7 linked regions of the Canis lupus familiaris genome follow. The protein of the gene in region 4 purifies or fractionates together with the protein of the main gene of each other region. This does not show direct contact. Links are inferred from orthologs where the notes say so. Each region holds a gene or a part of one and is shown on either strand. Other genes may lie near its edges.

Region 1 (3,376 bases), on a different chromosome or scaffold from region 4:
GCGCCCTGGGCCAAAGGCAGGAGCTAAACCGCTGCGCCACCCAGGGATCCCAGATTTTTATATTATTAATAGCAAAATAGAAGAGAAAAAAAAAAAAGGAAAAGGAAAAACAATACCTTGGTTGCTGGCAGTAGAAATTCCAGAACAAATGAGGGCAAAAGAGGCAGCAACAGGAGTTTGAAGTCTAAGTGCAGAGGGTGAGGTTCTTTTCCTTCACCATAAATTTGTATTTACTGTGTTAATTCACTAAGTTTAGAATACTGTTACTACACAATCCTTTTAGGGAAAGACCTGTATCAATTACTCAGAGCACCTGGCAATATTAACTCCACATAATTGTAACAGTTACTAAATACTGTCACTCCATTCTATGGGGTAGAAAATAAATAAAGATACTTCTTAGCAAAAACAATATGGACAGAAGCCAGGAAATAGTTTCTAGTTTAATAATACCACAACTATATCCAAAATAAAAAATAAAAATAACACTGAATCAAAGATTACTTATAACTGCAGAACATTTTAATTCTAAAGAGCTTTAATACATGAAAAGCCCCATAGTTTCCAAATGCCCATCAAAGAGGGAATGAATTATCAGTCCCATCAGAGCTGGGGGAAAAATTTTTAAAGGGGGTGGAGGGATGAAGGCTGACAACCATTCTCTTTCAAAAAGATAAACACTGTATCCTCAGATAACCGCTCAGAATGTTACTTGATATGAATAGGCAAGAGGGTAATAACTGTCCGTGTTTGCCTTATACTGTATTGGGCAATTAAATGCCAACTGAACTATTCAAGAATGACTTGCTAAAACGTTGAAAAAATGAAAGACTTCGTCCTTGTCATAGACGGCCACTTCCGTGGAACATTCGGTGCACATAACGGGGTGATAGATCTCTTCTGCTTGTGCCTCTGTCTGCTCTGCAGCGTCTTCGTGGTTAGACCTCATCTTCTTATGGCCTCGCCTTTTCTTCCTGTTCTCTGGGATTTTGTATCTTAGAACCTCCTCTTTGTTGACAGAACAATTCATCACAAACATTGCTCTATACTGAGTTTTGTATGATTCATGCCTAAGAAGAAAATGAGATGGAGAATTTGGATTTATGTTCAATTTTAATAGGTTATCCATCCAGATTTTAAGATTTTATTGAAGAAATTAGCTGACACAGTGTTACATTAGTTTCAGCTGTACAATTCAGTGATTCAAGAAGTTTACACTAATTATGCTATACTCACTGGAGGAGAGCTATCTTCTGTCAACATACAATGCTGTTACAGTATCATTGTATTTTACCCCCAGGACTTATTCACTCCTTACCCAGGAGCCTGTGTCTCCCACTCCCCTTCACTCATTTTGGCCATCCCCTACCTTGCTCCCCTCTGGCAATCATCAGTTTATTCTCTGTAATTAAGGGTTTGTTTCTGCTTTTTTGTCTGTTTATTCAATTGTTTTGTTTTTTAGATTCTATATATAAGTGAAATCATACAGTATTTGTCTTTCTCTTATTTCACTTAGTGTAACACCCTTTAGGTCTATCCATGTTGTCACAAATGGCAAGATCTCATCCTTTTTATGGCGAAGTAATACTCTACTGCATATATATAACTATTCTCTCTTTATTCATCAAAACACACTTGTTTCCCTATCTTGGCTATTGTAAATAATACAATACACACAAGTGTGCATATATCTTTTTTAATTATGGTTTTTGTTTTCTTTGGATAAATAGTAGTGGAATTACAACATAGGTTATTTCCATTTTTAATTTTTTGAGGACTCTCCATACTGTTTCCCACAGTGGCTGCACCAATTTACATCCGGACCAACAGTGCACAAAAGTTCCCTTTTCTCCACATCTTCACCAACACTTTTTATTTCACATCTTTTTTTTTAGCCATTATGGCAAGTGTAAGATGACACTTCACTGTGGTTTTGAGTGCATTTCCCTGATAATCAATGATGTTGAGCATCTTTTCATTTATCTGTTGGACATCTATCTATATGTCTACTTTGGAAAAATGTCTATTTAAAAAAAAAGGAGGGATCCCTGGGTGGCACAGCGGTTTGGCACCTGCCTTTGGCCCAGGGCGTGATCCTGGAGACCCGGGATCGAATCCCACGTCGGGCTCCTGATGCATGGAGCCTGCTTCTCCCTCAGCCTGTGTCTCTGCCTCTCTCTCTCTCTCTATCATAAATAAAAATTAAAAAATTTAAAAAAAAAAGAAAATCTAAAAAAAAAAAAGGAAAAATGTCTATTCAGTACTCTGCCCATTTTAATCAGATTATTTGGTTTTTTTGGTGTTGCATTGTATCAGTTCTTTTTATATTTTGGTTTTAATTCCTTATAGATAGGTCATTTGCAAATATGTTCTCCCATTCAGTGAGTTCTCTTTTCATTTTGTTTTTTTTTTATTCTTTTTAAAGATTTTATTTATTTATTCATAGAGACACACAGAGAGAGAGGCAGAGACACAGGCAGAGGGAGAAGCAGGCTCCATGCAGAGAGCCTGACATGGGACTCGATCCAGGGTGTCCAGGATCACGCCCTGGGCTGCAGGCGGTGCTAAACCACTGTGTCACCGGGGCTGCCCTCTCTTTTCATTTTGTTGATGGTTTCCTTCACCATGCAAAAGATTTTTATTTTGGTGTAGTCTCAATAGTTTTTATTTCCCCTTGCCTTAGGAAACATATCTAGAAAAATGTTGCTATGGTCAATGTCAAAGAAACTATTGCCTGTTTTCTTCTAGGAGCTTTATGGTTTCAAGTCTCACATTTAGGTCCTAATCAATTTTGAGTTTATTTTTGTGTATGGTGCTAGAAAGTAGTCCAGTTTTCCCAGAATCATTTATCGAAGAGACTCTTTTTCCCCCATTGTATATTCTTGCCTCTCCATATAGTTTTTTTTTTTTTAATATTTTATTTATTTATTCATGAGAGAGACAGAGAGCGAGGCAGAGACACGGGCAGAGGGAGAAGCAGGTTCCCTATGGGGAGCCCGATGCAGAACTCGATCTTAGGACCCTGGGATCACAACCCGAGCCAAAGGCAGATGCTCAAATGCTGAGCCACCCAGGCGCCCTGCCTCTCCAGATAGTTAAAATTGAGAACACAAAAAACTTACTAAAATACAACATTGCATTCTCATGAAAAACATAAGAACAAAATGGGAAATTTAAAGAAATGTTAAGAATAGGAAAAACTTGTTAACAGAGAATAGTTTAAAGAATGAATATATCCTCTTTTCCACTACTTTAGAAGTAACTTTTATCTCTGAAAAAAAAAAATTGTTTGCTCTTCAAACTTAGAAAAGTTACTGGAAACTTGAGAGTTAATGTTTAAACGATCTTCGACTGTGTCTTTCACACTGAGGCCTAC
Region 2 (3,500 bases), on a different chromosome or scaffold from region 4:
GGGCATACTTCGGGAGCTTCTCCACTGGAAGCAGTTGCTAAAAGAGAGAAACAAGGATGCCTGGGTGGCTCAGCGGTTGAGCGACTGCCTTCAGCTCGGAGCATGATCCTGGAGTTCCAGGATCGAGTCCCGCACTGGGCAACCTGCATGGAGCCTGCTTCTCTCTCTGCCTCTCTCCTTCTGTATCTCTCATGAATAAATAAATAAAATCTTTAAAAATGAATGAATGAATGAATGAGAGAGAGAGAAAAATGCCATTCACATTCTGCTGGCAGCATCCTTGAGCAAGCTGTTTTTGTGGGACAGCCAGGACTGCACTTCCTGGCACCCTCCCTGTGTCACTCTCCACTGTCCCCTAGGCTCACAAAGTGGGAAAACTCTGAAACAGCTTCCACATCAGGGAAAAACTATGAAGCAAGATCACATTTTGGCCAATGGGTTGAAATCCAAACTGGAAGAGAAGTGAAAACAAAGAAAATGGAGAAAAGCAATTCACTCACTTCTTCGGAACCAAAGGGCTTGGGCTTCAGAGCAGGCACATGCACCTCTTCATAGCCCTTGCGCTGGCGCCGGAAGGACCCATCAGGAAGCTGACAACGTTTATTGGCCATGAAGTGGCTCCCCTGGGTAAAAACCAGGTCCTCCAAGTCCAGAACCTGCCGTGGAGCCAGTGCCTAGGAGTATGAAAAACAAAAACCCAAAGTGAGCAAGGTGAACAAATGAGCTTTTTCCATCTAGCACCACCTTGGAAATGAACCCAAGACCTACCTCTCCACCCTGGTCCAGATCCATGGTTTCCAAGTCTGTGTCCATCCGGGACTGACGCACTCGCTCTCTCCGGGACCTTTCCTCCTGTAACAGAGAAAGGCCCAAAGAATAACAATCCATCACCATTGAAGGTTCTGGTCCCTTTTGGTCTCTGCTTAACTAAGCTTGACTCATGGGTGCTGACCAGTAAGTCCCAAACTAGAAAGACCGTCCTTTATGTTCAGACATCTGCCATCGGGACCACCAGAATGATGGAAGCAAGCAGTTTTAAAGGGACAACGGGGACACCTGAGTGGCTCAGCAGTTAAGTGCTTGCCTTTGGATCAGGGCGTGATCCCGGATTCCCAGGTTCGAGCCCCACAATGGGCTCCTTGCATGGAGCCTGCTTCTCCCTCTGCCTGTGTCTCTGCCTCTCTCTCTGTGTCTCTCATTAATAAATAAATATTTTTTTAATTAAAATAAAAAAAGTAAAGGGGCAATGCAGGGGCACCTGGGTGGCTCAGTCAGGCATCTGACTTCGGGTCAAGTCGTGGTCTCAGGTTCCTGAGACAGGGGCCCGCATCAAGCTCCCCGCTCAGCAGGGAGTCTCTTGTCCTTCTCCCTCTGCCCCTCTCCCCACATGTATACATATTCTTTCAAATGAATAAAATCTTAAAAAAAAAAAAAAAAAAAAAAACTTTCCTCTTAAAAAAGAGGACAATGCATAGCACAGGGATTTCAAAAGTAGATGTTCAACAATTCAGCACCAAGGGCTAACCCTAAAGATAGAAGTGTAGGTTCTATGTTCAGCCAACATATGTGTTCTATCCCTGCATTTTCAGTACATACCATTACTTATTGTGTCAAGGGCCCATGTGATGGGCCCATGGTGCTGTTGAAGACAGCAACAGGCTAGCAGTCTCTTGACCACAGCACTCTGAGTGTGTTAACTCTAATCTGTACTAGGGACAAACCTCAAAGAATTCAGAGAAATACTTTACTTCTTCAAACCTTCACTTCTACTATGAATTCAGCTTTATGCTACAATTTTCTTAAGAAAGGGCAAGAGTGCACATGAGTGGGAGAGGGACAAGGAAGAAAGAGAATCCCAAGCAGACGCCACACTCAGTTTAGAGCCTGACATGGAGCTCAATCTCACGAATCTGGGGATCATGACCTGAGCCGAAATCAAGAGTCGGACACTCAACCAACTGAGCCACCCAAGTGCCTCAACGCTATACTCTTACAAATGGTGTCTCTTTTCCAAAGCAAATATTCTAGTTCGGGAATCAGACAGATAAACTAACCCAGCCCTTACCCGGATCAGATCCTCCTTCTCAGTCTCATGGAGCTGGTAGAGGAACTTGGAGAGCTCTGGATCAGCTTCCATCTTTCCCATGATCCTTTCCTTTTCTGCCTCACTCTGTGCACTGGCCAGTAAGGTGCAATATAAAACTAACAACAGCAAAAGAAGGGGAAGATGAAAAGGAGGGGTTTGTGTAGAAAGCAAGCTCACTGAAACAGGCACTGAAGCTATAAAAATAAGAGTCCCCATCACACAAGCAAGCACATATACCACGAATGAGCTCCCAAAGGGACTATATACTCACTCATCATCCTGTGCTGTCGCAACACTTTAATAAAATCGAAAGTGTTGAAACCAAGGAGCAGAACCAGCTGGTTTTCACATTCCCGATCATCACTGGCTGTCTACAGAGAGAAGGTAATGCCATGATTAAGGATGCAGCCATCTGCTTCATACGCTGTCCCCACTGCTAAGATACATATGATGAACACAAAACATCTTGGCCATACCTTCAGAATCTCCAACACTTCATCTGCCTTCTTCTGTGACACAATGGCATCATCATAGAATCGACTGAGCTGCCGCTGTAGCCAAAATGCATCAATATCCCGAGGGTGCAAATCCTTCTTCTTGGAACTCATCAGTTCCCCTGAGGCCACAAGCTACAGAAGTAACCAGGTACTTAGCTTACGCCACATCTCCATTGGCCCCAACTGCTTACTCATCACCCTGCAACAGAGTTCCTCTTGCCACCAGAGTCTACCAGTCTTTGAGGACTTTCCAGAATTTAAAAAACCCTTATAATAAATTCAGGAGCATACCAAACTAACATTTCAACACATGCCTTTGGGAAGGAAAATGAGTGATTGAAATCTTAAGAAAATCAAGACGCTGAATGTCTAATGACTCCTATTAAAGGCCAGCTCAGTAATATGCAACAGGACCTATGCAGGAGAAAACAAATGCTACACCCAGAAATCCCCTAGCCTTGCAGCAATGGGCGAGAACAAGCTGTACTTACATTAGCCGAAAGAGTGCAGCGCACAACAGCCTCATCCCCTTCCATGTCATCATCAGATGCCTCTTCTCGAACTTCCCCATAGACATCTTCATCACCTTCCTACAGAAACAACCCAACCCCAGCTCATGATTTGGAGGTGATCCTAACATCAACAGAGAACCTCTCCCGAGTCCCTTAAAATTAGTTCCATGGTTAGAGCAATGGCTCTGGTACTGGTGGTGGGGAGACCAATAGCTTATTGGTACTGGTGATAGGGAGACCAACAGATCCAGAGTACATGTAATAAATGACCTCATTACTCTAAGTCCACTTGGCAAGTATTCATTAGATGCTTTTACTCTCTCTTCTGCTTCTCCTCTTAGGCTGCCACAATGACAACCAACTGGATCACAGTCTCTCTCATATGTGTACAATCGATAAATGATG
Region 3 (3,500 bases), on a different chromosome or scaffold from region 4:
TGGGGACATGTGGGTGGCTCAGCGGTTGAGCGTCTGCCTTTGGCTCAGGGTCTGATCCCAGATTGCCGGCATCGAGTCCTGCATCAGGCTTCTTGCATGAAGCCTGCTTCTCCTCCCTCTGCCTGTGTCTCTGCTTCTCTGTCTCTCATGAATAAATAAATAAATAAAATCTATAATAATGATAATAATTATTATTGTAAAAATTACTTTTACTATTATTATCATTATTATTCTAGTAGTAGTACATCCTGGGTGGCCATCAGTCTGACCAGGAGATACCAACTGAAAACAGATCTGCCTTCCCCCAGGTACTAATGGAGGTCATCCTCTCTTGCATGGCTCATTAGCCATTAGAAAAACAGATACAGGGCAGCCCTGGTGGCGCAGCAGTTTGGCGCCACCTGCAGCCTGGGGTGTGATCCTGGAGACCTAGGATCCAGTCCCACGTCGGGCTCCCTGCATGGAGCCTGCTTCTCCCTCTGCCTGTGTCTCTGCCTCTTTCTCTCTGTGTCTCTATGAATAAATAAATAAAATCTTTAAAAAAAAAGAGAGAGAGAGAAAGAAAGAAAGAAAAGAAAGAGAAAGAGAAAGGAAAGAAAAGAAAAGAAAAGAAGAAAAAGAAAGAAAGAAAGAAAGAAAGAAAGAAAGAAAGAAAGAAAGAAAGAAAGAAGAAAGAAAGAAAGAAAGAAAAAGAAAAGAAAAGAAAAACGAAACGAAACGAAACGAAACAGATACATGTGTAGAATAGAAACGTGTGCAATCTTTCCCAAAGGGAAAGAATCCGTTCAGGGATTGTTCTGAGTAGATCTGAAGAGATGAAATATTTATTTAATTTAGTGTAAGTGCTCATATTCAATAAAAAATCATAGATTCAGGGATCCCTAGGTGGCTCAGCGGTTTAGCACCTGCTTTGGGCCCAGGGCATGATCCTGGAGTCCCGGGATTGAGTCCTGCGTCAGGCTCCCTGCATGGAGCCTGCTTCTCTCTCTGCATGTGTCTCTGCCTCTTTCCCTCTCTCTGTGTGTGTCTCTCATGAATAAATAAATAAAATCTTTAAAAAAAAATAAGATTATAGATTCATAGAGATACTTGAAAATTTTTGTCAGCTGAGTTCCAAGCAACCACTGAGCCCTGCTTCTTGCTCCTCCCTGGCCTCAGTGTGACATCTTTTAGAACATACTCCCAGGAAAGTAAGATAGTACTGCCCTCTGAGCTCATGGTGCTATAACTTGAAGAGCTGAAAATCAGTCTTTTCAGTTTTAGCTTTCTGGAAATCACAAGTAGATCCGTACCTCAAGCCGCTCACTTACTCCTGTGAGAGTGTATAGTAATGGCTTGCTCTTCTCCTTCCACAGGCTTTGTGGACATGTGTGTGCAGCATATCCCCTCTCCAAAGGTGGGCGCCAAGCCCAAGATTGAGCATACCTACACTGGTGGTGTAGATTCTGATCTCGGCGAGGCCATGAGCGACTGTGACCCTGACGTAAGGGAAAGCCCACCATTTCTCTTGATTTTTGTCCCCTCCTGTATGAGTCCCCTGTTTTCTGGTCATAAGAATAATGCCGTCTTTCCATCCTTGCTTTTCACTCACTCCCCATGAGCAACGTCAAACAGACCTGAATTCAAAGCCTGGTGTTACCACTTCTAGTGGTATGATTTGGGGAACATTATTTAATCTTTCTAAGAGTCGTGGTCTATAAAATGAGGATTAAAATATGTATGTGGTTGTTATAAGAATTGAATGAGATAGGGAAAGTATTATAGTTGTTCAGCATGGTACCTAAACTAGTAAAGATTCAACAAGTGTAGCTGACCTCGTCAGTCTTGGGCTTTAAAAAACATCTTTCCCAGGGGTACCTGACTGTCTCCATCAGTAGAGCATGATCTCTGAGTCATGAGTTCAAGTCCCACATTGAGCGTTCAGCTTACTTAAAAAATAAAAGTCTTTCCCAGTCATTCCTTAGTCTAGTTTCTCAGCATAAACATACAACCAGTTGAAAATTGTGAGTTATGTTTTCAGAGGGAATGTGAGGCAAGCATGTCTTATAACCTTGTACTGTAATGCAGTGCCAGTCTGGCATCCTAAACCTGCTTTTCTTCGCCATTGCCCACATCTCCCTAGAGAACAGGAAAAGAGGTTTTTTTACTATGCCTGTGACATCTATATACTAAGCAGGGGGTAGGGCATGGCTTGGAATTTCCCAGGAGATTGACGCATCTTCCTCTAGGTCTGGGCTTTTCACAGAGCCCATGTCATTGCTGTCAAGGGAGGTGGAGACCATGGCATTTACCCTGGGAATATGTGTGGTTGAGCCTATGCTCTGTCCCCACCTCCAGGGTCCTCTGATGTGCCACACTACCAAGATGTACAGCACAGATGATGGAGTCCAGTTTCATGCCTTTGGCCGGGTACTGAGTGGCACCATCCACGCTGGGCAGCCCGTGAAGGTCCTGGGGGAGAACTACACCCTGGAAGATGAGGAGGACTCCCAGATATGCACTGTGGGCCGTCTTTGGATCTCCGTAGCCAGGTAATGCCAACCATCACCTGTAGAGGTATGCCTTGGCCTTATTACTGGAGCTGCCACAGGAGCTGGGAGAAGTGGTCCTCCCTGGAAGCACAGCAGCTTCATGGCCCCCCCTACAGCAGGAGATCAGCCCATTCTCCCTCACATCTGTTGACTTCTACTTCTTACTACCCAGAGTTGCTAGGGCCAAAAGGCAACTACTATTGGGATAATGCCAAGAGCCTTGCCTTCACATTTTGAAGGCTTGTATAAACTTTGTAGCAGGATTTCTATTTTTACTCTTAATCCTCTTCCTCTTCTGTGTTCCTAAGTCATAACCTTTGTGTTTCTTCCCAAACGAAATTGTCTCCCAGCCTCCACTGACTATTCTTTGACCAAGATAGAAGATTTTGCTGGATATCTTGTAGCTTCCCCATCTGCAGAATCAGACTTAGCTTGAACCTCTGGGCTGCTCATGAGTTCATAAGTTTGGCTTCTCAGCCAGCAAGCAGAGTGCAGGAAGTTGTGTTCCTGACGTTGCCTGCTGCACCTGGCCCCCAGCCCCTTCCCCCACTCCAGATTCACTCGTTCCCTAGAAGGCAGAAGATTGATGAGCTAGGACAGTCACAGTGTTTTCTGTGATGCTTTTGGCATCTCCTTACATTCTACCCCTTGGGCGCAGTGCCTTGCTTACCACTAGTATCCAACTGGAATTCAGTTTTCCTCTTTGTCCTCTTACAATACCATGCGTTTTTCTGTCATGGGCTAATTAATTAATTTGTATCTCCAGTTGGCCCTTTAATAACACAGGTTTGAACTACATGGGTCCATTTTAATATGTTTGTGAGGTGTTTTTTTTTTTTTTTTCCAATAAATACACTATAGTTCTATAAACGTATTTTCTTTATCTTATTATTTACTTAGTATTTTCTCCTTTTAGCTTTCTTTATTGTAAGTATAGAGGGCGCCTGAGTGGCTCAGTTGGTTGAGTGT
Region 4 (4,097 bases):
AACTGGGCCCTCAGCAGACTCAGGTGTAGAGGTCAAAGTCAATGCGTTTGGAGTTGTAGAACTGTCCACCGGGAGGGTCCAGCTTCCGGCAATAAACACCATCTGCGAAGTAGCCTTCGTTCACCCAGGTCTGCAGGAAAGGAAAGCAGAGCTGGGGAAAGACTCATGGGAGAAGGGAAGGGGGGTAGTGGTAGAAGCAGGAAAGGGCTTACCTGCATCTGGGTGCTGGTGAAGGGCCCATACAGCTCAGCATCCCCTGTGTTCTCCCACTTATATTCCCACATCACGTCCACCAGACCATCATCTCCTTTCAATTCTGCTTCTAAAACAACAGGCAAAGCCATCTGGCCCTCAAGTGCCCTACCTCCTGCCCCAACACCCCTCCTCTGCCTTCTGATCTTACCTCCCCTCTGTGTGGGGGTTGGGGTCTCCAGCTCCCCCTCTGCCACTTCCTCAGCAAACATGTCCAGAGAGGGTGGGGGTGTGGGGTCAGGGGGTCCCTGAGTCCGGGACCCCAACCCCTTCAGCCGCATGGCTAACCGTTCCCTTGTCTCCTGATATACACCGAGGTTGCCCCGGGCCACCATCTGGTCAGCCAACCCAGAGAGCCGATCCAAGCGCTGAGGGGAACTAGGCCGCCCAGCCCCCTTGCTGCCCCCTTTGCCACCTCCTCCTCCTCGGGCCCCCAGACGCCTCAGTGCCCCGGCCACTGTCTCTCTGGGTAACAGCAGCTCCAGAAGGCCCTCCAGGAGGGCTTGGGCACTCATTGGTGTCTGGCCCAGGCTGTCTTCTTCCTCTGAGTCTGAAGGTGGGCGCTGATCAGGTGGCCGCTCCTTGATCTTCACCTGTGATATGAAAACGGGGTGGGGGGGGGGGGGTCGGTTATCTCTTACAAACCGTGAGCAGGGCACAAGCCCAGCACTTGCTGCCTCCAGGTCCCCAGCCAAAGTCAACCCCTGGGCCACACCCAGTCAATGTTGTCCAGCCAGCTATCTCGGATCTGAGCATCCCGGTTCAGAAAGTAATTGCCATCAGCATCAAAGTGGCCTTCCTCCATCTCTTCCTGCAGGTTGAAAGGTGTGATCCGCACACCTCCCTCACTGGGGAGTGTGGCTGCTTCCTGACCTGCACCAAAGACACAGGTGGCCCAGGCTGAGCAAGCAAAAACAGACAAGAGCCTTCTCCACCCCATATCCCGTGAAACCCCATCTGTTCCTCCAGCAGCAACAATTCTTGGGTTTAGCTCACCTTCCACATCCTCTGAGGCCAGGATGTCGTATTTGCTGGACCCCTCATCATCATCATCCTCCTCATCACTGTCCAAAGAGTGTTTGCCTTTGAAGCGGCTCCCAGGACCCCCTGCCCCAGCCACAGGATCCACCAGCTGTGAGGAGCCAGCAAGTTGAGAGATGCAGGTTTGCGGCTATTCCTCAAAGTACTCTAGGAAGGTTTTTCTTCAAAGCTTTCTCAGACTGAAAATTCTCCAAACCCATTTCCCAGAGAACATGGAAAAAGCGAGACCTTTCACCGCTTTATCCCCACCAGCTTTCTTTCTCTTCTAGCCTCCAGTTCCTTCTCCCTGCCCTCACTCCTCCCCAGAATACAGGAGTCTGGCCACCTCACCTTCTTCTTGGGGACACTGATTTCATCCTCATCATCCTCATCTCCTACGCCTTGGAAGGTCACTTTCCTCTTTGGCATGCCTGCACAGAGGGGCCTTCGCCAAGCTGAGCGAGGGAAAGGGTGCAGATTAAGGGAACTGGGCGAGGCTACTCACCGCCGAAGGGCCGCCAGCACAACAAATAATCACCTGGTACGCACTAGATCCAGCTTGGGAAGAGAGGGTGCAGAGTCAGGGGCCGAAAGGGAAGTCGGCCGCCAGGAGGCCCCGGGGACTTGGTTTGGTCCAAAAGAGTTGCTGGTGCGGGGCCGGAGAGGCGGACGCGCGGAGGGGCTTCCCACGGGCAACCCCCACCCTTGACGAAAGGAGACAGACCCCCCACACATGCCCCCCCATTCCTGGCCCCCGCAGTCCTGGGTGCGACGAGGCTCTGAGGGCTGACACCGGCTCCTACACCCCCAGCTCCCTCAGAGCCCGCGGGGCCCGGGCGGACCCAGGACCTGGCGTCCTGGCCGACCCCCTCTTCCCCGCGCCGAACTCCCGGCTCCGAGGGGTGACCCCCAACTGTCCCGGGCTAAGTGTACAAATCAGAGGGGCGGCAGAACCGCGAGGATTCCAGGACCCCACCGGCGCGCGCTCACCTAAAGATCGACGGGAGGCCGGCGGGGAAGGAAAAAGAGAGCTGCTTTCCCCACGGCTACGTCCGGGGCAGCGGCCGCCATCACCCGGAAGGGAACTGCGGAAGGCGCTGGAGAAGGCCGGAAGTGGCTTCACTCGGGGTAGGGGACTAAGTGGAGAAGCGGGCGGAAGTACACAGTGAGCGGGAAACACCTCCCCGCCCAACCCAGAGTGACGTGATCAGTGTGGGGCGACAATGGCGAGAACAGGGGACGTACGAACGCCTAGGCCCCGATCAGACGAGAGAGATGGCCGGATGCGGTTTCGATTCCCTCCGACAGCAGTCAGAGGCTCTGGGGAGAAAGCAGAGCGCACTCTACTTAAAGGGGCGCCCAGGACCATGATGGAGGAGCAAAGTGGGACAATGGCCCGTTTCCCTTTCCATAGTTGAATCACTTTCCCCAGGGTTGCCCAAGGGCTTTGCGCCCCTCACCAGAATCTTCTTGGAAACCCTTCCTTTCCACTCAGCGTCCAGTCCAGTCCACTCCTACCCCGAGGTGCGGCCCTGCTCTTTTCCCCGAGGCAAGACCCGGTTCTGATGGCCAGCCTGGAGGCCCGGGGTGGTTCCGGGGCACTTGCCGAACACAGGTCTCTTTAGGACCCGGGGGAAGTCATTTACCCGACACCTATCCCCTGGGGAGTTCCTGGTTTGAGAGGTGGGAAGAGCCGTCTCGGAAAGGTGACGGTGGTACCTGTGTCCAGTACCCAGGCCGAAGTTTCTTGTGCCCTGATTTCAGGTAGGCCTGGAAAAGGGCAACAGTGCGTCTCTCCAACTACAGGCGCAAGCAAATAGGGGTCCAGGCCAGCGGCCCCTGCCCAGGGTCTGTAAACTAGCCCAAAGGGGAGAACTGTAGGTGGGAGGTGTCGGCCCCAGTGCTGGGGGGGGGGGGGGGGAGCAAGACCTGTACTCTTGAGGACACTCTTAAATCCCACTAGGCTAGGACCAGCTCTCTCTCCTGCCCCCAAGGTCTACTCCCAGATTGGACTACCATGAAACTGCACCAGAAATCCGTACTCAATTTCTTCCGTGGATACAGAAAAGCTCCAGACCGCGAGGGCATCTTGCTGAAGAAAGGAGCCCGAAATATCAGCTATCAACGCCGCTGGTTCATCCTCCGGGGAAACCTCCTCTTCTACCTGGAGAACCAGGCGGACCACACACCCCTGGGCCTCATTCTCTTGGAAAACTGTCGGGTGGAGCCACGCCTTGGGGCCACAGAACCCTATGCCTTTACCATACTGACCCCTAGGGTTGAGGGAACAGCTGGGCGTGCCTACAAATTGGCAGCAGAAAACCAGGAAGAGCTGGGAGCCTGGCTGTGGGCACTAGCTGGGGCGAGCTGGAGGCGGCTGGTGGCGCTACTACCCCCCCTGGAGGCCCAGTACCGGGAGCTGTGCCAGGCAGCTGGCCAAGAGCCCAGCTCACCCCCAGAGGACTGTGGCTTTCTTGCCACCCTCGGTATCCCCTCCAGCTTCCAGGAATTGCATGAGCACTTTGGAAAGGAGATCCGGGTGCTGCAGGTGGTGCGTAGAGGGCCCCAGGCTAACAATGGGGGCAGCAGATCCCAGGCAAAAGAGGAACAGGAGCTCAGCAGCTGATGAGTGACTGAAAGGTGGACCAAAGGCCAAGAGGTACCCACGTGCCAAGACCAGCCCACAGCTTCGGTAGATGCCTGGATCCTGGCCTGCTCCACTGTTTCCCACCCCCTGCCCAGTCCTTATTCTAACCCCCTCTATCAAATAACAAAGCAGGAGACGGGCCCAGGTACAACAGCAGGTTCTTTTCTGATTCCTCAAA
Region 5 (4,233 bases), on a different chromosome or scaffold from region 4:
CTAACAAGTCCAGTCCCAGCAATGAAGGGCGGGGGGCAGGAGCCTTGAAGACATGCTGCTCACTGGCTGCACTTTTGGTCTTGCAAATAAGACCGCCAACCTGAGAGTCCAGATCAGTGCCTTCTAATCGATGGATCGAGGCATCCTCGCTGGTGTCCTCCATGACAGGCTCTGGGATGTCTGTGGAAGGAAGTCAACCTATTTTGTACTGGATGTAAAAGGAGAAAAGGTTTGACTCCACTGTATCCCAAGATAACTACAGTTATAAGTATATTCAGGGGGGGTGACCTCTCCATCAAGACCAGGCTTTGTTTAGCTACCTCTTGCCAAGACCTTTCCATTAAGTCAATTACAATCTCAAAAGATCCTGATCCCCACTCCTACACACATCAGAAATACACACACACACACAAAGACTCTCTCTCTCTTTCTCTCTCTCATCCACCAAATATCAGGATCCAAGAGGGTATCATCCAGGCAAAAACAGACCTCACTAAAGGGCACTTATCAGAACATGACGGCATATAGAAAAGGACTCTAGGGGGAAACACCACTAGATTTTAAGTCAGAATCCTCAATTAGAGAGCAAGCTTTTGACAATTTCTACTTCTGTGATTGTAAGCAGATAAGTTGGTATTTGGTTAGGCATAATTTCTATATTTGAAAAAATAGAAATACTTTTTCCTTTATCTATTCCATGGAAGTATCCTAAGAATCAAATACAAAAGTGTGTGAAAGCTCTCTGTAACCATAAAGTGTTACATAAAGGTAAGTGTTACATTATTTTATTTGCTGTGCTCCTATAAACTGTTGGGGCTCAACATTTTTCTTTTTTTTTTTTTTAATTTTTATTTATTTATGATAGTCACAGAGAGAGAGAGAGGCAGAGACATAGGCAGAGGGAGAAGCAGGCTCCATGCACCGGGAGCCCGACGTGGGATTCGATCCCGGGTCTCCAGGATCGCGCCCTGGGCCAAAGGCAGGCGCTAAACCGCTGCGCCACCCAGGGGGATCAATATTTTTCTACGGAGTTCTTTTGCCTGTCTCTCCCTTTAAACTACAGATAGAGCAGAGTAGTCACATTGGGGTATAAGGCTACCAACCATGTGATCCACACATGAAAGACTTTTCGGGGACCAGTTGTGTTTTGGAGAAAAGAATTACCTCACAGCAGTTGAAATCTGTTTAAAGACAATCCACGTTCACCAAAAATATTGATGAGAAACACTAGGTAATGAAATGGTGTTCCTGAAAAGTATTAAGGCGATTGTAAGATTTTCCCACACAACTTGTAACAAACTCCTCTTTACCTCCCATTACACACCAACAACTTATAAACACACGTGCCTGGATAATTCTCCTTTCAGCAAGTCAGTGAGGCAAAGGAACTGTTAAGGTGTAGGGTACCACCAGAATCCAGAATGTTTTTGCCCAGCTCTAATTAACAGGCGCCGCTCTAACAGGGAAATATCGCCAAACAGACTGGACGCATAATACGAACAAAGACACGAGGGCTGCATCTTGGAAAATGCCATCAGGTAGAAGAGGAGGGAGAGAGCTGCATATTGATGACGTCTGTGTGCAGGTGAGGAAATCTAAATAGGAAGGTAAACACATGTATGTTCTGCTCACCAGTAGTCTGAACTCGAAAATAAGTCCTATACTGTGAAAAAGAGAACCTTGTCTGTCTTGCTGTTGCTGTACCCAGTGCCTGGCAAAATTAAACATTTGATGAATAAATGGGTGAATGAATTTAAACTGATTCGTGGAGAACAGGAAGCCCCACGTTTCTAGAGACAGCAAAGGAACGTATCAACAGCCCAGGATCAAGGCATCTGAGGAGACCTAATTAGCTGCTGAGAACAAGCAGGAGTTAAGGGGCTGGGTTCTGGGGAATGATTAATGACAAAGAAGCCACAGAGAATACAACAACAACAACAAAAAAAACCCAATTCAGAACAACTAGATTTACTCATTCAACAATTTTTCCCTGACTGCCTTCTGTGAGCCAGTCGCTGTTCTGGGCAAGAGGAAAAGAACAGAACAGAGAACAAAACAGACCAAACTCCTCGCCTCTTGGAGTCGACACTGTGGTAGAGGAGATCGCCTAGTGAAGACACACTGTGACAGAGGCGAGAAGACACAGCCGCCCGGCGTGTGGCGGCGTCGGCCGGGGAGGGGGCTAATGCAGGGGGCTGAGGCAGGGTGCGGGGGAGCCCCCGGGCAGCATCCCTGCACCTCCGGCCAGGAAGCGGGATCCGACCGGATCGAGGAGGAAGGATGGGGCCAGCCGCACCGGCGCAGCATCCCTACGGTGAGAAAGGCAAGCTGGGTGACAGGGATGGGACTTCGCAAACCCGGGCTGGAACCTGAAGGAACGACCCATATCCGCCGCTTGGAGCTGCCATGATTGGCGAAGGGCAGGCCAGGAAGGAAGAAGGGGCACTCACCTCACCAAGCCCGCCTCTCAGAACCTTCCGTCCCAGATTCTGGGGCGCCGGCACCACCACCCCTCACTCAGACAGCCTCACAGACCCAAACCCAAACCGCGAACGCGGCCATCACTGTCCCATAATACCTTGCGCGGTCCCCTCTATCCATCCGAAGATACCATCGAGGAAAGACCGGAAAACGCCGGTTCCCCGCTCCAAGTGTGGGACAGAAAGCGACCAAGCGCTCAAGGCTAGAGTGTCCTCCTCTGGGACTCTGATTCGAAGACACTTCCGAGTCTCGTCACGACCAATCACAGCCTAAAAGGCGAGACAAGACGGAGGGTGAGGGCAGAAGGTCGGTCATGTTTAATAAGGGCGGAAGTGACTCCATAGCTTCCGGTCAAAGCCCGGCAAAGTGGGCAATGACTCGGATAACCCCCTGTTGATGGTCTGTTGAGGACCGCGAGTTCATCTACTGCGCCTGTGCGTTTCCTTCTTCCGCTCCCGCCTTCTTAAGCGGGGCTCTGGGAGCCGCTGGGCCGGAGCGCCTGGGTTGCGGTGCGTTAAGGCGGCTGCGTTGACGTGGGAGGAGCCGCCGACGTCCTGACTTTTTTGGACAGGAGGCCAAGGTGGCGGACGCCGCTGAAGCGGAAGAGCGAGAGGTGACCTGGACAAATGAGGTGAGTATCGTCCGCCCTAGCAGTTGGCGGCCAGGAGCAGCCCGCCCAGAGGCGTTGCTGATGTATGTATGTCTGTGTTTCTCGAAGATTTTGGAAGAAGAAAGATGCTCACTCCGATGTAATTAAGAATCACCTGCTGTCTGTTCGGTCGCAGAGATGACCGCTGATGGTGTTGGGGGATATGGACCTCCAGTTGGTTTTCCACGCACACGTAGAATGCGTGTGCAGTATTGTGTTGCACCACAACGGGGTCACGCTCTGTAGTCTGTTTTATGACTTCTTCACGGTGGGAACGTTTCGGGATCTGAGAAGTTCATTCGTAGCACGGTATTCTGTGGCTGTGTAATGACGGTAGCTTGCAGGACTGTATTAGCCTTTATTTTTCCAGTTTGTTTGTTTATTTGTTTATTTTTCCAATCCCCCTACTTTGGGCCATGCAGGTTATTTTCAGTTTTTTTTGTTTTTGTTTGTTTTGTTTTGTTTTGTTTTTTACCATCAAGAACAGTGATGTTTTCTACGTAAATCTTTTGTGGACGTGTCGAATTAGTTCTCAGAAGAAGTATCGTTGCTCAGGGTGTTTCCTTCCTAGAAAAGTTTTGCTTCTCTGCATTCCAGCGGGGACTATGAAATGCGTGTCCATTCGCACTTTGCATTACTGTTTTCATCTTTACCAGCTTAATGGCTTTGTCAAGTAATCTTCCAAGCTGCTGTTCTTTGGTTACCAGTAAAGTGTAACTTTCCAAATACTTTTGTCCGTTTGTATGTCTTTTGTGAAGTCTCTGTTGGTATCCTTCGCTATGAGCATTTTCTTAGGGGTGGCATCAGTTTTCCTGTCTTCATTCCAACATTTATCCAGTCCTCTCACCCTGGTAGACAGCTTTGCCCCCCCCCACACCTCCTCCTATAAGTAATGTACTGAAGGTGCTGTTTGAATTCTTGTAGGATAGATCCATCCTTTCCTTGACTTTCCCTTTCATCAGTAATTTGTTCTGCCACAGACATCTGATAAAGTCCCTTCTGGTGGTCAGCTTGCGTAGTTAAAGTATGACACTATGGGAACAGTTTCATTCCCTATATGAATTGTTATTCATTAATATCTTGAAATGTGACTTATCACACAC
Region 6 (4,020 bases), on a different chromosome or scaffold from region 4:
GTGTGTACACACACACATACACACACATGGCCACTAAATGGTGCTGAACCTGTGCCATAACCCCATCCTCCTCAAAGACCCCTTCAGATGATCTTTCTCCTCCACCCAAATGCCCTCCCTCACCCCCATCCTCAGTCCCACACTCACCCTTCTTGACAGCATTGACTTCCAAGGGTTTCAGCCCCAACTTTGCCCGGAGTTTACTGAGGACAAGAGATACACATGTTAGGAGCTGCCAACAAAATAGGGACATCAGAGACATTTCTGGATAGAGAGTGAAAACAGGATGGAACTGAGAAGTCCTAAGGGTCCCCAAAGCAGAGACTGACCCAGGCAGCCAAGGACATTGGGAAGGATGCTGGCCTCCAAATCAGGGAACACAGGCACTAGGCCTGGCCTGCCCCTAACCAGCAGAAGACCATCTTTCTCTTGGGTCTTAGCGTCTTTTCTGTAACTCAAATGGTTATACGTCATTTCCAATTCCAGTCAGAATGCCTTAGTGTGTGAATGGTCCCCCAGGAAACTGTTCCCAGAAGCCCTCTGTCTCAGAAAATAAAAGTAGAAACATCAGGAAGACAGAACTTACTTGGTCTCCTCGATGCTAAGAGATGAGGCATCTCCTGAGCTACTTTTGGAGCTGGCAGCTGGAACAAGAAGTATAGTTCAGGAGCTGAACAAAGGGCCAACAAACCACATCTTTGGCTCGAGCTCTGCAGGGACCTCCCTTACCCATACCCGGGCCCTACTGAGACACTCGAAAACAGCAACCTTCCTCCATCTCAGTAGCTCCTTCCATCTCAGTCCCAATCTCTTGAGACCCCAACATAACCTTCCTTTCCTGCCCCAAAAGGTCCAACCTTTTTGCAGCCTTCACTCTGCCTCCTCTCCACTTCTGTACATTCTGTTTTCAGCCCACACTGCCCTCCTTGGCCTAACTCTGATAGACGAGATCCTATCCAAATGCTGAGACCAAATGCCACCTCCTTCTGAACTCCTATTTAATTATTGGTCAGAATGAACTGCTCTCTCCTGAACTCCACAGCTCATCACTCACTTCCAGGTCTGTTTCTCCCCACTGGTCAGGGACTGTGTTAGCAGCATGACTGTGTTCTCTGCGCAGTTCATCCAGTCAAGAAATACACTTAATGGTCCCTGTTTTGCGATGGATAGTGAGGATGCTGAGATAAAGTAGCTTTTCAGACTTCCTCTACTCATCTCTCACTCAGCAAGTAACTTCGGAACACAACACACAGACAGAGGCTAGACGCCACCAGATGGAGCTTCCCCACCCAGGTGCTACCACCTGTTCATCCTTCCTGCGTCCCCACTCCATAACCTACCTCTTCCCCTATACCTCACCTGGACCCTGGATCTCAACCTTTCTAGGCTCTCTCCAAGGTCACCAGCCTCCTTATTTCTAAATCCAACGGATTCTTTTCAGCTCGAATTTCCTTTATTTTCTGTGGTGTGTGTGACACCATTGACTATTCTTTGCAACAGACCCCATGACACAAGATTCTATAGTTTTCTTTTCTGGATATTGTACCATCAAGCATTCTTATAGCCTCTTACTCTACCTACTACGAAAATGCTGGCATTTTTAAGGTTCTACTGCCCACTCCTTACTCTCTCGCCAGGCTTCATTTGCCACCTGATTTACTTATGACTTCCAAATTGCTCTATCCAGCCCAAACCCTATCGGTTGCAATGCTCTCCACAACTGAACTCTCTCCCCTCAAAAGTCTGCTTCTCTCCCAAAGTCCTCAATTTCAGGAGACACAACCACCCACCCAGTTGCTCAAACCAAAATTTAAGGAGCCATCCTCATTTCCTTCTTACCCTCACCCAAGTGCTAAGTAAGCTCTAATTCCTCCTCCCAAACGGTTCTTCAATCTGTTCAGGTCTCTCCACCCTCCGCTGCCTCAGCACACGCCACTATCAATCCTCACGTGGCCTCCAGTCTTGACTATTTTTGAACCAGGTCTCAATCTAGGAATCTTTGCAAAATATGATCAACTCATTCCTCAGCTTAAATCCATGGCTCTCTACCACCCTCAAGACAAAATTCAAATTTCTGTAGGGCCCTTTGTGCTCCGACCGGTTTCCTATCTCTGCTATGAACCCTACCCGGTTTGCCCAATATCAGGTTTCTTCTTGGTTCTGCACGAGCTAGAACAACTTCATTGATTCATTCACTCAACAAATAAGGGCCTGTGAGGGGCCAATTTTGAGACAACAGAAAACCTCTGCCCTCGCAGAGGTTAGTAGAGAGAGACAACTTTTAATCCCAAACGGGGAGACTCTCTAATAATTGCTGACGGAGACAGCGTCGGGGAGCCGGGGCGGCAGCGCTCGGCTCGCACCCAGGCCAGACCGCCCGCCCCGGGACGCCCCGCCCCGCCCCCACAGGCCCCGCCCTCACCGGCCTCGTAGCCGTCATCGCGCTTCTCCCGCTTCACGCGCCGCTCTGAGGGCTCAGCCTGGCCGCGCTCCCGCCCGTGCGCGCCGCTGCGTGTCTCGGCTTCGGTCCCGCGCCGCCCGCCCCCGCGCTCGCCCCCACGCTCCCGACTCCGCTTCCGACGTTCGCCACCGCTGCTCCCGCCACCGCCGCTCCGGTGCTTGTGTTTTTTGTGCTCCCGGTGCCGCGGCGGCTGCTCGGTGGCGCCTCCGGTGCTGGCCGCCGCCGTCGTCCCGGCCGCCTCTTTCTCCCCACGGTGCTTCTTTGACGACCCCATGGTGGTACGTCCGCCCCGAGCCCGGCCGCCGCCGAGCCCCGACGACGCAAAATGGGACTACTTCCGGGTCGCCCGGCAGCCGCTGTCGTGTTGCCGGAAACCAAGAGTGGCTGCTTCCGCCGTTCGCCTCGGTGCCTGCCCCGAGGGCTCACGGGAAGGCCGGGGTTGGAGCCCGGCTGCGTGTTTGCGGAGCTGTTGGTCTGGTGGCGGTCTTCGAAGTGCGTGCGTGCGCCGGGTGTAGGGGTTACAGGCCTCCGAACTATAAGCCCTTAAAGCCGGCAATCTGGGAGCTGGAGGCGCCCCCCCCCCCGCCACCAGACGCTCCCTGCCTCACGGGTTTACCGGTTTTACCGTGCACCGCGCCCGCCGCTCCAGTCGGCGTCCTCCCGGTGGGCTCCACCCGCCCCCGCCCCCTCGTCGTGGCTCCATCGGGTGTGGGACGCCGCAGCTTGTTTTGAGACCCAGCCCAGCCTCTGAGCCCCTACACCCGATATTATCAAATGCTGCCTTTCCACCTTACTCGTATTGGGTTCTTTTTTCCTTGTCTTTTGTTTCTTTTTTTTTAAGATCTACTTATTTGAGAGAGCGCGTAAGCGGGAGCGGCAAGGAGAGGGAGACAAGGGCCAGCTGAACCCTGAGATCGTACCTGAGCCGAAACCAAGAGTGGGAGACGCCACCCAGGCACCCCCCTCACCTTGGATTGGGTTTTTAAATCTGTACTTTGAACCCCCAGAAACTGCAAAATTCCACACAGCACGACTGGGTATGTGAGCTCATTCCCACCCCCCTCCTTGGGGGCCCAAATTTGAAGTTACTTAGAAGTTAAAATCCCAAGGCGCATGGGTGGCTCAGTAGTTGAGCGTCTGCCTCTGGCTCAGGTCGTAATCCCGGACCCAGTTCCTGTCGGGCTCCCCAGAGGGAGCCTGCTTCTCCCTTTGGCTACATCTCTGTGTGTCTCATGAATAAACAAAGTCTTTTAAAAAGTAAAATCGCAATTCACATAATTCCTCCTCTGACCCGCAACCCCCAGTTGCTGGGACTGGCGGCCCCTGTGCAAACCACTGGTTACAGTGTAAGATACGTACCCCTTTAAGGATCCAAACCTCCTCCCCTCCCACCCTGAGTTCTCAAAGGCAGAGGCCATTAGGTCCTGTTCCCTCTTGAATTCCTAGGACCCAGCATAAATGTTGGAAATGGGAGTGGAGGAGTCACAGCTGTTGCTCTGTGAGATGATCCACTCAGGAGCAGAAGCAGAGCTGTGTGTGCTGGTGGGGGCAGCTCCACA
Region 7 (4,274 bases), on a different chromosome or scaffold from region 4:
CCCCATCCTCACTCCCAGCACCCCACTGCCCCTCATCCCTTCCCCACTTACCCTGGCTCTGCTGAGCTGCCCCCAATGAAGCCATAGCGATCAGCCTGGCGATATGGGCCAGGCCCACTCAGCTCTGAGTCGGACCCCAAAGAGCTTGAGTCATCCTGCAGCTCGAAAGGTTGTACCAGGTCCTCCCCCAGGGCCTGGGCCATGGTGCCCCAGACCCAAGCTACCACAGGCTGCAAGATGTGGGGAAAGCCAGTGTGAGAGGCAGCTTCTGACCAGCCTGGGGCCTGAGCTCCCATCCAGCCGGTCCCCAGCCCGGGGACCTGGCTGCAGGGTTCAGAGGGCACAGACTTCAGGGCATCTCACCAAGCCCCCTCTGTCCCCTCTTTTATCGGGGTGGGAGGGTGAGGGTGAGAGTGAGCCTTGAAATGGCAGAAAAGCCAGACCTCTGTGTAGAGGCTGGTCCCCAGGCCCAGCCCCTGCCCCCCCAGGCCAGCTTACCTCCCTGCTGCACCTCACCTCCTCCTCTCACTTCCTCCTTCTCAGCAGCTTCAGCCACCGGCTGGGGGGCCCCTCCCACACTCCCCTCCCAAGTGTGTGGGGGGGTCACCTCTTCCTCTCTGAGGCTCTTCCGGCCTGCCCCAGTGCCCCCAGGACCGTGGGCTCCTCCCACCCTCCCCATGGGCTGGGTGGCTGCAGGCTTGGGCTCCAGAGCAGGGTGTGACCAGTCCAGGACCCACCCGAGTTACAGAGGCCAGGCCCCTCCAGTTTTGAGGTTAAAACAATTCAAGATTCCAGTGAGAATTCTCGTTTATTTAATATTTGCTCTTTACAAGTAATGCTTTGAATATATACCTAACGCAGCGTTATTATGCACTCAGCAGGCAATAACGGAACTTACAAAAATTAGTTCAGCGTGCAGCACAGCGTGGACCAAGATGGGTTCAGAGCGCCGCGGCAGGTGCCTGGGTCTGGCCAGCTGCCTTGAGGGCCGCAGAGACTCAGGAGGTGGAGGCCCCCCGTGAATGTGAGGCCAGGGTTTTGGACCAACCCACCCCCCTGCTATCTCTTGAGTCTCCGTTTCCTTTTCTGCACTTCGAGGACTTGATCCGCAGTGTCTGGAGCATCGGTTATTAATGTGCTCATACCACGCTCCCGCCCAGGGGGTGGGTTAGCGTCTGACAGAGACAAACAACTCCCACAGCACTTCCGGCCCCATATTCTCGGAACTGGACTCGGGTAACTCCTCGGGGGCGGGACCAGACTCGACCCCGCCCTCCGAGCTCCACCCACCGGCCGGGCTCCGTCCCGACGGCCGAGCTCAGCCCGAGCCCCGCCCCGTCCCCTATGCCCCGCCCCCCGGGCCGCCGCGGCCGCTGCGCGCGGTGTCCGGCGGGAGCGCTAGAGCGCGGGGGCAGCGCGCAGGGCGGGGCGGCGGGCCGGGGAGGCGGGGCGGCAGGCCGGGGCGGGCCGGGGCGGGCGGAAGGAGCGCCAGGCCGGAAGGAGGCAGCGGGCGGGAGGGAGGGCGGCAGGAGCGGGCCCGGAGCTGCTGGGGCGGAGCGGCGGCGCCGCCATGTCCGACAGTGAGAAGCTCAACCTGGACTCCATCATCGGGCGCCTGCTGGAAGGTTGGCCGGGGCCGGGGAGGTCGGTGCCCGCCGCGCCCTGGCCCGGAAGTGGTGCGCGGGCGGGCCTGCCCCTCCCCGGGCCAGCTTAGACTGGGCGGGGACGGGCCGCAAGGTCCCGTGGCCACAGCCGCCCCCCGAGTCGCGGCGCGCCGGGGGAGGGGGGTTCCGGGGACGCTCTGGCACGGGGAGCAGCCCCCCTCCTGGGCGGGGGGCGCACGGGTTGGCCTGCGCTATTGGGAGTGAGGGAGAAACCTAAGAAGCCTAGCTCCACCCCTCCCAGGGGTCCTGCGCTATGGGTGGGGTGTTGGGTGGCAGGCCCCCGCGCACAGCACACCCCCTCGAGGGGGTCCCATCCTGGGAGGCCAGAGGCGGAGGTCCTGGGAGGCTCACCAGCAACAGCTGCCCCTAGGCAGGGAGGGGCCTAGGAGGCCCAGGCGCCCTCAGATGTGCCCATAGGGCCACTTGTGTCGCCCACCTTCCTCCTGCCTGAGGGACCAGAGTCTTGACACCCCATTCCTCCCACAGTGCAGGGCTCGCGGCCTGGAAAGAATGTACAGCTAACAGAGAACGAGATCCGTGGTCTGTGCCTCAAATCACGGGAGATTTTCCTGAGCCAGCCCATTCTTTTGGAGCTGGAGGCACCCCTCAAGATCTGCGGTGAGTCTGCTGCCCAGATCCCTTTGGCTTTCTGAAAGTGGAATCCCCACTTCACCCCGCCCAGTCCTTGCATTGCTGCTCCCTGGAGCCCGAACTTGGCCCTGGGTTCAAGTGTAGCCCCTGCACCTAGCGCTGAACCGGTTCCCTGGGTTACAGGTGACATCCATGGCCAGTACTACGACCTTCTGCGGCTCTTCGAGTATGGTGGCTTCCCTCCAGAGAGCAACTACCTCTTCCTGGGGGACTACGTGGACCGGGGCAAGCAGTCTTTGGAAACCATCTGCTTGCTGCTGGCCTATAAGATCAAGTACCCCGAAAACTTCTTCCTGCTCCGTGGGAACCATGAGTGTGCTAGCATCAACCGCATCTATGGCTTCTACGATGAGTGTGAGTAGCCCAAGTCCTTAAGTGACTTCCCTTTTCGGGGAGACCCTCACATAGGCCTGGCAGTAGGGGAATTGGTGTCTGACCACTACCCACAGACCGCGAGCTCTGCGAAGGGTGCACACCAGTTGGTGCCTCTCTGCCTGCCCTCCTGCCGTGGGGCCGGCACGCAGGAGGGGTCTGGGGAGTGACTGCTGAGGACTGCCCATGTTCTAATGCAGGGCCCTGCCTCATGACACTCCCCTCCAGGACATCCATTAGGCACTTGGGATGCCTATTTGGACTGGATCCTACCAACCAGAAGCTGAGATAAACCAGGCCTAGTCTTGGCCTGGCCCTGCTCACTGGGTGCGGGTGGGTTGTTTCGGATTGGAACTCAGGTTCCTCTGGACCTAGCTGCTTTAGAATTCCTGGAAGGCTGGTAGGCAGCGGAGTCGGGGGAGGGGGGATTCTCTTCTTGTCTGCCATTCTCTTCTCCCAGCTGTGTCTGGAGGGCCTCAAGACCCAGGCTGGCTGTGGGGCAGATAGGCCTCATGAGGCATCTCCTTCCTCCCAGCAGGCAAGAGACGCTACAATATTAAACTGTGGAAGACCTTTACTGACTGCTTCAACTGCCTGCCCATTGCTGCCATCGTGGATGAGAAGATCTTCTGCTGCCATGGAGGTGAGAGTGGCTCTAGGGTACATGTTGAAGGGTTCTTTGGGAAGGAAGAGCCCTGGGCCACATCCCGGGGAGCCCTGGGATGAGGCTGTTAGCTGGAGGATGTCTTCCCCGTCACCTGGAAGACCTCTCCCAGTGGTCTTGGTTTGCATGTCACTCTTTGTTTTGAGGCTTAAGCAAGTAACCTGCCCTCCCCCAGGCCTGTCCCCAGACCTGCAGTCCATGGAGCAGATTCGGCGTATCATGCGGCCTACAGACGTGCCGGACCAGGGCCTGCTGTGCGACCTGCTGTGGTCTGACCCTGACAAGGACGTGCAGGGCTGGGGCGAGAATGACCGTGGTGTCTCCTTTACCTTTGGGGCTGAGGTAGTGGCCAAATTCCTGCACAAGCACGACTTGGACCTCATCTGCCGGGCACACCAGGTGGGCTGGCAGCTCTGGGGCGGGTGGGAGTGGGGCCTGGGTAGCCAGCACCTGCTGAACAAACTGCCCCCATCCTCATCCAGGTGGTAGAAGATGGCTATGAATTCTTTGCCAAGCGGCAGCTGGTGACTCTCTTCTCGGCTCCCAACTACTGTGGCGAGTTTGACAATGCAGGCGCCATGATGAGTGTGGATGAGACACTCATGTGCTCCTTCCAGGTTGGGATGGGGGAAGGAGGGGGGCTGGTGACCCTGTGGCTTAGCCCATGAGTTTGACCAGCTCTTGTCTTTTTTAGATACTCAAGCCCGCTGACAAGAACAAGGGGAAATACGGGCAATTCAGTGGCTTGAACCCTGGAGGCCGGCCCATCACCCCACCCCGCAACTCCGCCAAAGCCAAGAAATAGCCTCCGCGTGCCCGCACTCTGCCCCAGATGGTGGATTTGTACAGAAATTACGTGGCCATAGGGGGTTCACGCTGGCCCCCCAGGCCCACCTGTCACGGGGAACACGGAGCCTTGGTGT

The links.
Region 1: the proteins of CD2BP2 (region 4) and E2F-associated phosphoprotein purify together in Homo sapiens (affinity purification with mass spectrometry; 3 studies listed by BioGRID and IntAct, counting the BioPlex papers as one, with this or other methods). This does not show direct contact. The link is inferred for Canis lupus familiaris from reciprocal best matches to the Homo sapiens genes CD2BP2 and EAPP.
Region 2: the proteins of CD2BP2 (region 4) and SNRNP200 purify together in Homo sapiens (affinity purification with mass spectrometry; 8 studies listed by BioGRID and IntAct, counting the BioPlex papers as one, with this or other methods). This does not show direct contact. The link is inferred for Canis lupus familiaris from reciprocal best matches to the Homo sapiens genes CD2BP2 and SNRNP200.
Region 3: the proteins of CD2BP2 (region 4) and EFTUD2 purify together in Homo sapiens (affinity purification with mass spectrometry; 7 studies listed by BioGRID and IntAct, counting the BioPlex papers as one, with this or other methods). This does not show direct contact. The link is inferred for Canis lupus familiaris from reciprocal best matches to the Homo sapiens genes CD2BP2 and EFTUD2.
Region 5: the proteins of CD2BP2 (region 4) and DHX38 purify together in Homo sapiens (affinity purification with mass spectrometry; 3 studies listed by BioGRID and IntAct, counting the BioPlex papers as one, with this or other methods). This does not show direct contact. The link is inferred for Canis lupus familiaris from reciprocal best matches to the Homo sapiens genes CD2BP2 and DHX38.
Region 6: the proteins of CD2BP2 (region 4) and SART1 purify together in Homo sapiens (affinity purification with mass spectrometry; 4 studies listed by BioGRID and IntAct, with this or other methods). This does not show direct contact. The link is inferred for Canis lupus familiaris from reciprocal best matches to the Homo sapiens genes CD2BP2 and SART1.
Region 7: the proteins of CD2BP2 (region 4) and PPP1CA purify together in Homo sapiens (affinity purification with mass spectrometry; 3 studies listed by BioGRID and IntAct, with this or other methods). This does not show direct contact. The link is inferred for Canis lupus familiaris from reciprocal best matches to the Homo sapiens genes CD2BP2 and PPP1CA.

What each region holds. Positions count from the first base shown.
Region 1 is NC_049229.1:13,537,479-13,540,854, forward strand, and holds the end of E2F-associated phosphoprotein, read right to left. Parts: intron 1,071-3,376; coding exon 794-1,070; 3' UTR 501-793; downstream 1-500. UniProt on the Homo sapiens protein: May play an important role in the fine-tuning of both major E2F1 activities, the regulation of the cell-cycle and the induction of apoptosis. Promotes S-phase entry, and inhibits p14(ARP) expression.
Region 2 is NC_049238.1:34,654,953-34,658,452, reverse strand, and holds part of SNRNP200 (U5 small nuclear ribonucleoprotein 200 kDa helicase), read right to left. Parts: intron 3,174-3,500; coding exon 3,075-3,173; intron 2,716-3,074; coding exon 2,563-2,715; intron 2,458-2,562; coding exon 2,358-2,457; intron 2,203-2,357; coding exon 2,066-2,202; intron 853-2,065; coding exon 769-852; intron 675-768; coding exon 501-674; intron 38-500; coding exon 1-37. UniProt on the Homo sapiens protein: Catalyzes the ATP-dependent unwinding of U4/U6 RNA duplices, an essential step in the assembly of a catalytically active spliceosome. Plays a role in pre-mRNA splicing as a core component of precatalytic, catalytic and postcatalytic spliceosomal complexes.
Region 3 is NC_049230.1:18,507,319-18,510,818, forward strand, and holds part of EFTUD2 (116 kDa U5 small nuclear ribonucleoprotein component), read left to right. Parts: intron 1-1,355; coding exon 1,356-1,483; intron 1,484-2,337; coding exon 2,338-2,531; intron 2,532-3,500. UniProt on the Homo sapiens protein: Required for pre-mRNA splicing as component of the spliceosome, including pre-catalytic, catalytic and post-catalytic spliceosomal complexes. Component of the U5 snRNP and the U4/U6-U5 tri-snRNP complex, a building block of the spliceosome.
Region 4 is NC_049227.1:17,900,526-17,904,622, reverse strand, and holds the start of CD2BP2 (CD2 antigen cytoplasmic tail-binding protein 2), read right to left. Parts: upstream 2,801-4,097; 5' UTR 2,733-2,800; intron 2,593-2,732; 5' UTR 2,518-2,592; intron 2,409-2,517; 5' UTR 2,263-2,408; exon of another isoform or gene 2,106-2,262; intron 1,975-2,105; exon of another isoform or gene 1,831-1,974; 5' UTR 1,811-1,830; intron 1,728-1,810; 5' UTR 1,702-1,727; coding exon 1,624-1,701; intron 1,385-1,623; coding exon 1,249-1,384; intron 1,126-1,248; coding exon 968-1,125; intron 846-967; coding exon 404-845; intron 323-403; coding exon 213-322; intron 131-212; coding exon 20-130; 3' UTR 1-19. Other genes in the region: sesquipedalian-1-like, read left to right, coding at 3,290-3,898. UniProt on the Homo sapiens protein: Involved in pre-mRNA splicing as component of the U5 snRNP complex that is involved in spliceosome assembly.
Region 5 is NC_049226.1:78,391,002-78,395,234, reverse strand, and holds the start of DHX38 (pre-mRNA-splicing factor ATP-dependent RNA helicase PRP16), read right to left. Parts: upstream 2,801-4,233; 5' UTR 2,579-2,800; exon of another isoform or gene 2,451-2,578; intron 181-2,450; 5' UTR 164-180; coding exon 1-163. UniProt on the Homo sapiens protein: Probable ATP-binding RNA helicase. Involved in pre-mRNA splicing as component of the spliceosome.
Region 6 is NC_049239.1:51,813,363-51,817,382, forward strand, and holds the start of SART1 (U4/U6.U5 tri-snRNP-associated protein 1), read right to left. Parts: upstream 2,801-4,020; 5' UTR 2,736-2,800; coding exon 2,423-2,735; intron 2,226-2,422; exon of another isoform or gene 2,128-2,225; intron 645-2,127; coding exon 587-644; intron 204-586; coding exon 148-203; intron 1-147. UniProt on the Homo sapiens protein: Plays a role in mRNA splicing as a component of the U4/U6-U5 tri-snRNP, one of the building blocks of the spliceosome. May also bind to DNA.
Region 7 is NC_049239.1:50,565,131-50,569,404, forward strand, and holds the start of PPP1CA (serine/threonine-protein phosphatase PP1-alpha catalytic subunit), read left to right. Parts: upstream 1-1,474; 5' UTR 1,475-1,570; coding exon 1,571-1,625; intron 1,626-2,150; coding exon 2,151-2,282; intron 2,283-2,438; coding exon 2,439-2,669; intron 2,670-3,225; coding exon 3,226-3,330; intron 3,331-3,526; coding exon 3,527-3,750; intron 3,751-3,833; coding exon 3,834-3,968; intron 3,969-4,045; coding exon 4,046-4,156; 3' UTR 4,157-4,274. Other genes in the region: TBC1D10C (carabin), read right to left, coding at 52-296. UniProt on the Homo sapiens protein: Protein phosphatase that associates with over 200 regulatory proteins to form highly specific holoenzymes which dephosphorylate hundreds of biological targets.